3 linked regions of the Nothobranchius furzeri genome follow. The protein of the gene in region 1 interacts with the protein of each later gene in a pairwise test. Links are inferred from orthologs where the notes say so. Each region holds a gene or a part of one and is shown on either strand. Other genes may lie near its edges.

Evidence for each region. The genes of interacting proteins can lie anywhere in the genome.
Region 2: the proteins of cep63 (region 1) and ccni interact in a two-hybrid assay, tested with the Homo sapiens proteins (2 studies listed by BioGRID and IntAct). The link is inferred for Nothobranchius furzeri from reciprocal best matches to the Homo sapiens genes CEP63 and CCNI.
Region 3: the proteins of cep63 (region 1) and pcnx4 interact in a two-hybrid assay, tested with the Homo sapiens proteins (2 studies listed by BioGRID and IntAct). The link is inferred for Nothobranchius furzeri from reciprocal best matches to the Homo sapiens genes CEP63 and PCNX4.

The regions. Positions count from the first base shown.
Region 1 is NC_091756.1:60,714,928-60,719,444, forward strand, and holds the start of cep63 (centrosomal protein of 63 kDa), read left to right. Parts: upstream 1-1,462; 5' UTR 1,463-1,615; coding exon 1,616-1,656; intron 1,657-1,756; coding exon 1,757-1,934; intron 1,935-3,494; coding exon 3,495-3,590; intron 3,591-3,669; coding exon 3,670-3,759; intron 3,760-3,828; coding exon 3,829-3,933; intron 3,934-4,044; coding exon 4,045-4,218; intron 4,219-4,517. Other genes in the region: im:7152348 (tripartite motif-containing protein 3), read right to left, coding at 1-14. UniProt on the Homo sapiens protein: Required for normal spindle assembly.
Region 2 is NC_091746.1:73,444,993-73,449,229, forward strand, and holds the end of ccni (cyclin-I), read left to right. Parts: intron 1-700; coding exon 701-827; intron 828-1,371; coding exon 1,372-1,571; intron 1,572-2,817; coding exon 2,818-2,982; 3' UTR 2,983-3,278; downstream 3,279-4,237.
Region 3 is NC_091758.1:31,251,544-31,254,998, reverse strand, and holds the end of pcnx4 (pecanex-like protein 4), read left to right. Parts: intron 1-53; coding exon 54-157; intron 158-236; coding exon 237-1,330; intron 1,331-1,407; coding exon 1,408-1,594; intron 1,595-1,724; coding exon 1,725-1,976; 3' UTR 1,977-2,496; downstream 2,497-3,455. Other genes in the region: dhrs7 (dehydrogenase/reductase SDR family member 7), read right to left, coding at 2,724-2,765, 3,137-3,352, 3,438-3,455.

The DNA of each region.
Region 1 (4,517 bases):
TCGCACAAAACCATCGTCAAGCTGGTAGACCCCAGAAGATCACAAAAAAAAGAGTCCTCTGAGATGATCCGAGTGAGTTCCGATCTAAAAGTCTGTCGATAGGAAAGATGTCAGAGCTGATGTCAAAGTTCCAACGCTGTCTGTCTTTCAATCAAATATCTTCAGTATTAGAAACCGTTTTAAAAGGGAAGAATTTGTTTAGAACCAAATTCTATGTTCATTTCAAATACCATCAAAATGAATCACTTAAATCCTAAAGTTGGATGCTGTTGGTTTTTTTATAAGCTTGAGTGAAACACAAAACAGCCATGGTCAGATAATAGTTTGTAATAAAACAGATTACTTACAGGTGATGTGTGTATCTGCGGTGTTTTCTTTTAGGTTTGTGCAGCTCGGTGTCTGTGCTGTGAATGATGTCAGAGAGCAGCTTGCCTGCCTCCTGCTAGAGCGTCTGTTGCGTTGGTGGGGGCGAAACAGCCAAAAGCCCTCCCATGAACAGCTGGGGATGCAGAGCGGAGGAAACGCTCTTTGTTTAGTTTGAATGAAGGCAGGTGGAGAGATGGGTGAGGAAGGGGGAGTGGTAAAGGAGGGGTTGATGAACGTTCCAAAGTAGGTGATGTGTTTTGCTTTTTCCTTAACCATAACACATCCTGATAAAATGTTTCTCAAAAGACATATAAAGAAAACTTAGCACATCTGGGAATTGAACCCGGAGTCTCTCGCATTCAATATGAGAATCATACCCCTCTACCAACAAAATGCTGATGTGTTAAAGGAACATATGTATATTGTAGGTAATAAATGTTTCATGTTTTCTTGACATTTGTGCTGTTGAAGCATCGGTTCACGATGACACCTTGCTCGCGGGATTGCGGTAAAAACGGAAAAGCTATCATGATATCCCTCTTCCCTAGCCATGGCCAAGCAGATAATTTATACAACACTCACGCAGCGACACAGCGACCAATATGTTCGGACAGCAGACCGCCGAATTTTCAAATCACATTCTAAATGACCATGCTAAAAATTATGGGCTCGTCCGGGATTTGAACCCGGGACCTCTCGCACCCGAAGCGAGAATCATACCCCTAGACCAACGAGCCACGTGTCCGGGAAAGACACATAAAATAATTTAAAGTTAATTTAAAGTGATATGTAGTTTTTCTGTAAATGTACTGTTTTAAAAGTATTATTGTATTTTTACACACTATAATAGAATGTCTAATTTCATGGAATTTCAGACGTACCTTCACGTTACACGACATCTGAATCTTAAGCCGTGAGATTAATGTGTTTGTTTTTTCTTTAATTTTCCCTCCCAAACCTTATTTTTAAAGTCGAAGACCAAATAATAAATTACATTTTTTAAAATGTTGCCTACGTAAAACGTAATGAGGTCACAGTTAGAAGGCGGATGTACCGCCTTGGAACCGGAAATTCTTTGTAAAGAAAAGCAGTTGAACGCCGAATAGTGTTGTTGACGTAGCGATGTCATCAAACTTGTTTATACTCTACAACGTGCCGGTCTTAGCTTGTAAGGACAATCTGGATAGAGTCCACCGTGTTGTAGCACCTTAGCGCGCAGAGGGGACAGACGGCGCCATTTTTGAACGAGATGGAGGTTTCTTTGGAATCAATACAGAATCCTGATATAAGGTAACAGACGTTTGGTTTGTCGTGAGGCTAAGTCAGCCATCTTTAGATGCGTGTTTACACAAATGAAGTTGATAACACGCTTTAATCTTCTGCTACGCAGCTCTGTCCTGTCCTCATGCGAGCCTGAGCTGCAGGAGCTGATGAGACAGATTGACATTATGATCAATCATCAGAAGAGGGAGTGGGAGGCTGAGCTCCACGCTCTGCAGCTCAGGGTCACCAGTGGAGAAGAAGAGCTTTTAACCTCCAAGACTACCATTGAACGGAGGGATCTGGAGGTGAAGTGACGATTCATCCTTTTTTGCTCAAAAGAATCACAAAAGTAATTTAATCAACACAGAAGCTTGTAATAAAAAAGCAAGCATGCCCTTATTTTGACATGCAGCATTTTGAAGGTAACATTTTTCCATCCCATTTCCAATTCCAAACATGGACTCTCCTGCTAAAACAGTTTTTATGGCCACTGTCTCCATTTCTGGCCTCACCTAATGTTGGAGACTTACTAAATTATTCCTTAAATGATCAGAAAGCCTCTGCTATGAAGATTCGTTGTACTCTCAAAACAAAACCTCCTGCAGATTCAATTAAATGTTTCAAAAATAAATGTAAATGTGTGAGGATGTTGGTTTTAGGACATGTTTTAAACCGTAAGGAAGGAGACAGTAAATAGTTGTGGCATGAAGCATTTTATCTCTATTCCCATAATAACACCATCACCTATTCAATCAATCAATCAAACTTTATTTCAGACAAGGGATATGTCCATAACAAGAATAAAAAAAATAAAAAATAAATAAAAAAATAAAATACAAACACATTCTAATTACAAACCATATAGGCAGTTGCTCCAATGTTTAAAAAGGACTGAGGAGTACCTCGTGTCACTGTAAGATAAAGATGACAGAGCTCTAACAACCGCGTTAGCTGACAAACTCAGTCGGCAGATGAATTTGTACATGAAGAGCCTCAGAAGCGCATGAAAAGTTGGGATGTTACTCGTAACAAACATGTGACTTGCCGAAGTCCATCTAGGGAGCTTCATGAGGATTCTAAAAGCATCCTGATAAGCCACTTGAAGCTTCTTCATTACTACCTTACTATAGTTGCACCACAAGTGGGCGGTATAGAGAGGAGTACAAAAGGAACGAAAGAGGGACACTTTTACAGGATCTGAGCACATGCCAAAGTTACGTGCCAGAGTGTTAGCCTGCATGTACAGCTTACCACACTGCCTCTTAATGTCCTCGTCATCACAGAGGTCACTTCTTAAAATGTGCCCCAAATATTTTACTTTGCTTACCACTTCCAGGACCTGATTTGTTAAGTTAAAAGATGGAAAATTAAGCTTCAGGTCCCCTTTAGTAGCAGCAATCATAACCACACTCTTTTTAGGGTTAAACAGGATGTCAAATTGCTCACCATACTTAGCACATGCCCTGAGCAGCTGCTGCAGGCCTGCGCTATAGGGAGACATGAGGACTAGGTCATCTGCATATATTAAATGATTTACCAGTCGGTCACCCACCAAGCATCCAGTCTTACTAGCATTCAGAGTAACAGACAACTCGTCAAGGTACAGGTTAAAAAGGACAGGTGACAGAATCCCGCCTTGTCTGACTCCATTTGATACGGAGAAAGGTTCAGACACTTCTGTCCCCCACTTTACCTGCATCAGTTGATGAGAGTACCAGAAGTGCAAAATCCTAACTAGGTAAGAAGGGACCCCTCTGTTTTGTAGCTTGATGAATAATTTCTGATGATTGACTCTGTCAAAGGCCTTAGAGGCATCTAAAAAACACATAAAAACAGAAGTATTATGCCTCATGTATTTGTTGCAGATTGGACTTCTTCACAAGCAGCTTGAAGCCGTTCAGACGGATCGGCAAGAGTTGGTATCCAAGTACGAACAACAACTAAAGAGACTCCGTGAAGAGGTGTGATCATCTGTTTTTCCTCAAATGCACTCAGCTATATCGCTTGTATCATGTTTATTGTTAACATCGTTTCTTATAGTTGGACAAGTTGAAGAGAAGTTACCAGAAGCTTCATCGCAAACAGCTTAAGGAGACAAGTGGAGGTGGAAAGGAGACTGAGCTTGCAAAGGTGAACTAATAGATTTTCCTGGCATTTCCATCTCCTGGAATTTGATTAATCGTTCTTACATTGGTGCAGAAGCATCAGCAGCGCTCTGAGCAGCAGCGAACTCGGTACCAAAACCAGCTGACCACACTGGAGCTCCAGAATAAAAGCCTGAACCAGGAGCTTGCTCACTTAAAGGTTAAAAAGCACATTTATGACTTTCACTCAGGAAGCCAGACATATTTAGTGTATAAAAGTGTGGAAGACTGCTGCATTGTTGTTGCATTTCAGTAATATTTGTTTTTCCAGAGCCAATGGGCATCGGGGCGGGTGGAGAGGGAACACAAGGAGTGCTGTTCAGAGGTGCAGCATCTGCGTGCACAGCTGGAGAAGGCTCAGGCCAGCCTGCACTCACAGGAACTGGAACTGGATCGCCTCAGACCGCTGGAGGTGCTGTTGGGACAGTCCCAGAGAGAGCAGCAGGTTAGCAGGGCGACAGGAACATGTGAGATGTGTGGCTTCTCAGCTGGATACCAAACATCTTCCATCAGATTCCAGGTGTTTGTAACAACTCTGGAGATAAAAGTCTCACTGTTTGGACTCCAAAGGTCTTCTAAAGTTTGGACGAATTTCATTTAGGCTTTTATTACAGCTTCCATCCAATCACGTCATTAAAGCTGCAGGAAAAGAGCCGTAAATACTTGAGCTGAAAGAAAAAAAAAGTCAAACAAATTAATTGAAAGAGCTGATCACTTCAGGCGTCCATGTTGAAATGAGCTCTA
Region 2 (4,237 bases), on another chromosome or scaffold:
TCAACCGGAGAGTTAAACAGGTTTTATTTAAAGTCATCATCATCACACAGGTGAAGTTGCCTTTGACCCATCCCCATGGGGGCAGCACTGAGCTGCAGCTGTGGCTGCGCTCGGGAACTACTTGGTGGTTTGACCCCCGAATGCAACCCCTTAAAGCTGAGAGTCGAGCAGGAAGGCATTGGGCTCCCATTTTTAAAGCCTTTGGTGTGACCCGACCGGGATTTAAACCCCCATCTCCTAATCCCGGGGCGGACCCTACCACTGGGCCACTGAGCTGGTTTAAACCGGTTTAAGTTGTTATTGTAATGACGTCTTTTACTGGTTCTGATTTTCTACAGTGATCCTTGTAAAACATAAAGCTGCTGGACTTCGTGAACCCCAGGGCCTCGGGTACAAACCAAACCCAAACAAGTGGAGCGAAAAAAGCTGATAAATGTATTAAACACAGATTTAATGAGATATGAAGACCAGACGCATGTGAACGAGTGATTTCCTGTTCTTCTGCGTACGTAACGTACCGTCGCTGCAGCCTGGCTGTCCTGGGAAGAACACAGAAATGTTTAATAGCTTCATTGTGATAAGTCTTAATTTGATCCTAACGTTTCTCTGAAAGCTCCTGGTGTTACCAAGGCAACCAGGACTTGCATCCATCCCTTCTCCAGCTTCTAAAACACTTCCTTGTGGTTGTTCCCTTGTTCAGATCGACAGCTCTGAGTTGATCCGTAGCAGAGAGCTAGTCGCACGTAGTCTGTCCACACCGAGAGCTTCCCTGCCTCCTAACACCGTCTACATCTACCGACCCCTGCCGAATCCGACCTCCCCGCTGGGTAAGTGTCACCTCATGAGTCTGGTGCAGGTTCCAGTAATGTTGTGTCCAAACCCCTGAGGATGGCTCTGACGTGAGCAGGAAGGTGTTAGGACAGCCCTAGCGCTGCTGTTTGTGTCCGTTTGCTCGGGGGGGGGGGGGGGTCTTTCCTAATGTCCATTGTTGTCCTGAGACAGCACTTCCTGTAGAAGTCCTCATTAGCAGGAAGTGATTCTCCAGCAGTGCAAATCCGATCCCTACCAGACTGGAATCATCGGGAAGAGGCGTTTGGACCTACAGGGCAGCCGGTCTCAGATTTGATTTATTATGATGAATGTTTCTGCGTTTACTTACCTGGTGGAGGTGGACTCCACAAGTCTCCTCAGATCAGGGTGTTGATCCGAGAACTCGCCGCCTTCGTCTAGCTGGTATTTACCTGCAGACTGCTCTGAAGGTTAGGAAGTGGGTAGTTTTAGGACGTGGATCCTGGCTGCACCCCGACTAGCCTAGAGGGGCCGGAGCTCATTTAACATTTCTGTTCAAGTCTCCATCATCCTTGTTTCCAGGAACTGTCACCTCCCTCGCTGAGACTTCCAGGGACCACACCCTCAGCTCCACCGCCGTCCAGCCTCAAGCAGCTGCTGCTGGGGAGGAGAGGAGCTTCATCTCCTCCTCTGAGAGCAAAATCCCAGCTCTGCTCTCACCCAAACGCCTCAACCAGCTGCAGAGGATCACGCTGCGCTGCAAAGCTTCCACCAAGAGAAAGGTAACGCTGCTCCTCCCCCTGGGAGGGAGAAACACACACACACACACACACACACACACACACACACACACACCAAACACCTGGGGCCTCATTTATCAAGCTTGCTTACGCACAAAACGGGGTCGGAAAACTGCATAAGCAACTTTCCACGCAAACTTTGGGATTTATGAAGGAAAACTTTAAGCTGACTAAGGACCTGGCTTACGCCGGGGACACGCCGGCTGCCGGAGCGCCGCCAAACGGGGACCACCTTCATTCTGCGCCCTTGTCATCCTACTCTATAGGCCACATGGGCCGCCGTGCGCCGGCGCTCCAGCCCGCGCCGTGCAGCGATCGTTTTGGCGTCTGCTCTATTTTATTCGCGAGCCGCGGGTGAACCGCGTCAATTCTGGCAGGAAGTCAAACCTGGACTTAAGACGCAGGCCGGTAAATTTAACAAAATAAAGCATTTCAAAATACAATTCCACGATAATGTGTTCGTAAACAGATGCTGCATAAAAACCACACACACACACACACACACACACACACACACACACACACACACACACACACACAGCCTGAAGTGCAGAATACGGAATGCAGAATATCAGCAGGGGGACAGATTGAGACAGAACATCATGCGTCTGTGACGGTGTGTGTCCTGTCACTGTTACCCGATTGATCACGCGACCTGGCTACCTGTACAGGGGAGATCTCCATTTGGCTGACTGGTTAGTGCGCGTGACTTTCACCCGGGAGTCTGGGGATCTAACCCCGATTAGACCACTCTTTTTATATCCGCCACAGATCTCTCTGAAGAACTCACAACATTGACGGCTTCAGCAACGCTGTGCCACTCCGTGGATTTTCTCTTATTTGTTTTGCAAAAGCACTTCCTTTCATTTCTCCACCTCACCTCAACTTCTGCTTGTGAAATAGCGCTTCCTTGATCTGCCTTGATCTACGGTCGCCATGTCATTGGCAGAGCGCTGCAACAGCCGGCTTATGTGTATGCATGAGACCCACAAGGCACTTTGCATTGACTATATGTGGCAGTACGTGGGCGTGGCGAGGGCGGGATGCGACTAAAATGCAGCTGAGAAACGTTCTAGATAGTTTAGACTGCGTGCAGCTGTGCGTACTCCGTGTTTGATAGATCACAAACCTGCTTGGCGTAAGTACATTTGTTTAGCTGAGCTTAAGTACGGTTTTAGTCAGGATTCTACGCCCTGTTTGATAAATGAGACCCCTTCTCCATTTCCAGGTGGAGCAGATGGAGGTGGACGACTTCTACGATGGCATCAAGCGTCTCTACAACGAGGACACCACCGCTGCAATCCAAGAGGTGGGGGTATCAGGAGGGGGAGGTGAAGGAGGAGCAGACGGCTCCTCCTCTTGTCCTCCTCTGCAGCCGGTCAGATTCTCGTAGAACCAGAACCACCTCCACAGAACCTCCAACCACAGAACAGCTTCTGCAGCAAAGTCACAGAAACTATTTATCCCATAAACTCAGTAAAACGGCAGCTTGACTTGACGTTTCCCGCCCGTAACCGCTGTTGCTGTCCGGTTCTGTTGGGCTGGTTCTGGTTCTGAATGACCCAGAGCTGTTCAGCTGGCTTCCCACCATCCCCCTCAGCAGGAAAACAGAGCACAAAAAAATTTTAACATCCCAAAATGTAAAAAAAAAAAAAAACCTCTTTCTGCTACTATTAATTATGTTAAACACTAATAAAACAATTAAAAACAAACAGAAAAAGTTTCCCTTAAAATGGACGTCGATGTTGCCTTCACTGACCTGTTTATTTATCTGTTGTTTCTGATTCGTCTCCAACAAGTCAGTAGCTGAGTGTTTGAATCTGTTCAGTCGGGAACAAACTTTAGTGCCATTTGTGTTCTGATTAGGACCCGTCTGGGTTCCTGACGCCGCTCCTCCTGCTGCTCCTGCTGCCAGACTTCAGCTCAAGTTCTGATTTAGTTTCTACCTTAAAGAATCCACAAGCAGCTTTTAGTTACTTCGCTGAAATCGCAGCTAACAGCTAATGATGCTAACCACGTTTTTACATTAAAATGCTGCAGAGGCTTGATTCTGAAAGCAAACAAAAGCTGTAGTGAGTTTATTTTCCATGTTTGTGTCTGAGTTTAGGATGCTGACGATCTTCCCTGATGTTTAAAATGTTTTTCCTCCGTGTAAAAAGTTCTGTTCCTGCTGAAGGAGCTGCTGGCGACGGCTCCACATCCTCCACCACAATAAAGACTACAACCAGAGTCTGTTTTCATCATTAAGACACATCTGTGGAGAATATCCAGACTAAAGGTCACATATGTTTCCAATGGTGTTTGTTTCTGAAACACTTCTCTAACCCTCTGATGCACGAATTATGAAATCTTCAACCATGATTTTTTTAAACAATTTTTTTATTTATTTTTAGGTGTGAATGAAACAAATTTCAACAAATATTTTTTGTAGCATTTTGGTAATTTACAAATAATTTATTACATGTCCACCTCGGTGGACAGCGTGCATTCTGAACATGAAATATGTCGACTTGACTTACTGAAGTCCAAATGGAGGGGCTCAAATGCAATAAAGTCTTCAACAGCTGTGCTTCATAGCAAAAATAAATAAATAACAATTTTGAGTACCTGTCCACTGTAGTGACCATTATGCACCAAAGGGTTAAGAA
Region 3 (3,455 bases), on another chromosome or scaffold:
ATACGTCTTTATATTTCGATGTTTTCTTAATGTGTGACTTCCTCCGTTTGCAGGTTCTTTAGCTCCTGGCTCTCATTTTCTTGGACGCTTTCAGGACCGTATGGTTTGGATAATGATCCTGGAGAGAGGATATGGCTACTGTACTGTCAACATTAAGGTGTGTTGTCTCAGTCTTCCTGTGTCTAACAGACGTACTGTCAGATCGTATACTGTAAGGAGTTGTGGTTTTCTGACAGGGTCTGGAGCTGCAAGAGACATCTTGCCACACTGTGGAGGCACGGAGGGTAGATGAAGTTTTCGAGGCTGCTTTTGAGCGACCCGAGCGTCTCGGCTTCACCCAGGGCTTTAACCTGCACTGGGGTAACGCCCTCACTCCTTGTGCTGCACTTGCGGTGCGAGCGTACTCCGATGCCCGGAACGTGCTCTCTGGTATCATTGACTCTCATGAAAACTTGAGGAAACTTCAGGATGACTTCATGAAAGCCCTGATCTGGCTGCTCCTGCGGTACTGTGTGCAGAAACATCGAGGATTTCTGTGGCGCGGTGAGGAGGTGTCCGCGAGTGGAGGCACAAAGTCCCAGTCTTCACAGTTCGCTCAGACAACCTGCAATCAGCCATTTGAGGCTGTTGTGGTCGAATCCAACCTGTCTTCTTTCAGGTTCCGACAGGAAAGCTCTAGTGGGACTTCTTTTGGAGACTGGTCAGATGAGGATGACTTGTTTGGACCACAACCCCCCAGACGGACAGTGGCATTAGTCACCGCAGAGGCCCAACCTGGACACTCGGCCCTGCAGATAGGAGCCTCTTTGCCTGGCTCTGTAGAAATGGATAGTCTTTTTGAAAACATGGCTCTTTCTGCCCTGCAGCCACTGCAGCCCCTGGGACTCAGCATTGGGATGCCAGCAGTAGATAAAAGCCGAAACACGGAGGTCCTCAAAGAGAGTTCTCATTTAAACTTCAGCTGTCCTCAGTCTGAGATATTTAGCCTTCCATCAGGGTGGAGGACAGCACCGTTACTGCCATCTCGCTTGCTGTCTCTTAGGCCCCTGTTTCCTGAGGAATGGTTTCGGTTTACCTTGGGACGCTTTGGACTGGCTGTGCAGGAGGAGACTTCGGCGGACATGACCAAAGCCCTGAAAGAGGATGAGGTTTTAAAAGAACTACATGCTAAAGTTGCACTTTCTTGTCTCATCTTGGTGGGGGCGGAGTCTGCCTTCACCAGCCCTAGTTACATTTACAGACTCTACTGTGGAGATGTACCGTGGACCGAAGGACTCGACTGGCTGTCCTCACGTAAAGAACTCTACCAGCTCACACTTCAGGCATTCAGGTAAACCTGCTCTCCACATTTTAATGACCGATCCATGGAACTTAAAAAAAAATCTGCTCGCTTTGATTTGCCTCCAGGTTTAGTTTCAAGCTGCTGTTTGATCAGGCGAGCCTCGGGCCGATGGAATCCCCTGAGGAGTTGTTCAGCACTTTAGAAGAATATGAAAGGGACTGGTACATTGGCCTGGTTACAGAGAAAGGCTGGCATGACGGTGTCCTTCAGGAGAAGCCTTTCCTTTTCTCTCTGGGGCATGATCTCACTATGGTAAGTGAACATGGTCAAGTAAAGATTTACAGCGTTGATGGATTACATGCAGTGCACATGAAAGTGATTTTGCTCAAGTGATGACTTGAAGATCAGTGAAATATCTGCGGAATGACGTTTTCGTCCACAGGGTACCTACACAGGACGAGTCCTGTCCCTGCAGGAGCAGCTGATACAGGTGGGCCGTCTGAACGGAGAGGGGGTTCGAGGCCAGTGGGCAAACCTTTCGTGGGAGCTGTTGTATGCGACTAATGATGACGAGGAGCGGTACAGCATACAAGCTCACCCCTTTATGCTTAGAAATCTAACTGTTCAGGCAGCCGATCCTCCTCTAGGTTACCCAATTTACTCATCTGCCCCTCTTCACTTTCCCTGTCTCTGACCCGCCACAGTTCTTAGTTAAGAGGGGAACCCCTTTTTTTAACATTCATTAATAGTCTGAAGAAACCTCCACCTGCGCTTGAGCTTTACTCTCTAAACTGTTGACTCACGAAAACCCACTTTTTACACACTTTTCAGAATTTTATCTACTTCAGCTCCTAATGTGGTCGACGTCTTTAAACAGAACGTGATGAATTAGCTGGTCTGTAAACCAGGAAACCAAAACGAGTTAACCTAAATTAAACCCAACAAATCCATTTCCTGCTCTACTTTTTAGGTTTCACACTCCTCAAATTTTAATTTCTATGTCCAGATAAAGGTACAAGATGCTGAATGTTTTGTTACGATATCAAGGATGTGCCTTGAGTATGTCTTGCTCTGTGTACGATGATTAGTGCTATTGTTTTGTTTACAACTCTGTTGTTTACAGTTAAAAATTCAATGAATATGTTGTTTCTTGTATAAAATGTTCATTTTTATATGTGTGCTTGTAATAAAATATGTTGACAATAACAACTTTACCATTTTTAACTAAATGGACAGAAAATTGATCCAAACTAAATTTTATTGTTCAAGCAAAAGATCAGTACAAATGCATCATTCTTACAGCCGTTAGTCTTTGCAAGCATTCAAATTCAGTGTCAGATGTTAATTCTTTGAATTGTAAAGACATGGATAGACAGAAGTTTTCAAACTTACTCTAAAAATCAGAAAACATTCACAGTTAGGAATGCAGTGAGATCCCTGTTCAGGAGGTCTTTGGTTTAGTGAAGTACGCAGAGTCTGCATCCTGCAACAGAAAAGGCTGGTTGTCAGCTCTGGCTTGATGTTACGGAAAACCAAATCATTTTTATTCAAGGATGAAACGTGAATGAGAGATTTTTTAATCTTGAATAACTGTGTGGTGACCCCTGACATTGCTTTCACTACAGAGGCCTCAATGTTAAGAAATACTGTTTATTTGGTAAGACTTATTTCATTCCCCCCCTTTGTGAAGCACGTGAGGCCCGTTTTTGACTGGTAGGAAGGAACAGCACCTTCCAACATGGCCCCCAGCTGTCCCTGTCCAGCAGAGGCCACTTGGTGTAGTTATCAGTCCAGTCACACATTGAGAGTGCAGCTTCGGTTTTTCTTAATCATTGCAGGCAAAGATGCACTTACCAGACCAGCTTTAAAGTTTTGTACCCTTTTCCTGCCCATCATGTTTGTGATGGCCCAGGCAAACGTGGGTGCATACTGCCAGGCGTAGTACATGGAGAGGAAGGGCTGCTGAGCGATCCACATTTCCTTAACGCCATTGGCAATTCCCACCAGCATTAAATGCACGCAGCGACTTGTGGGCATCTTGTGCTCTTGGCTCCCAGCTAAGGCCACAGGCTTTTAAGAGAAAGCCGAAAACCGAAGTAGCTAATTAGACATATAAATTGAGGAAATGAAAAAAAAAAAAAGTACAATGCATTACCTTACTCAGTTCCTCTGT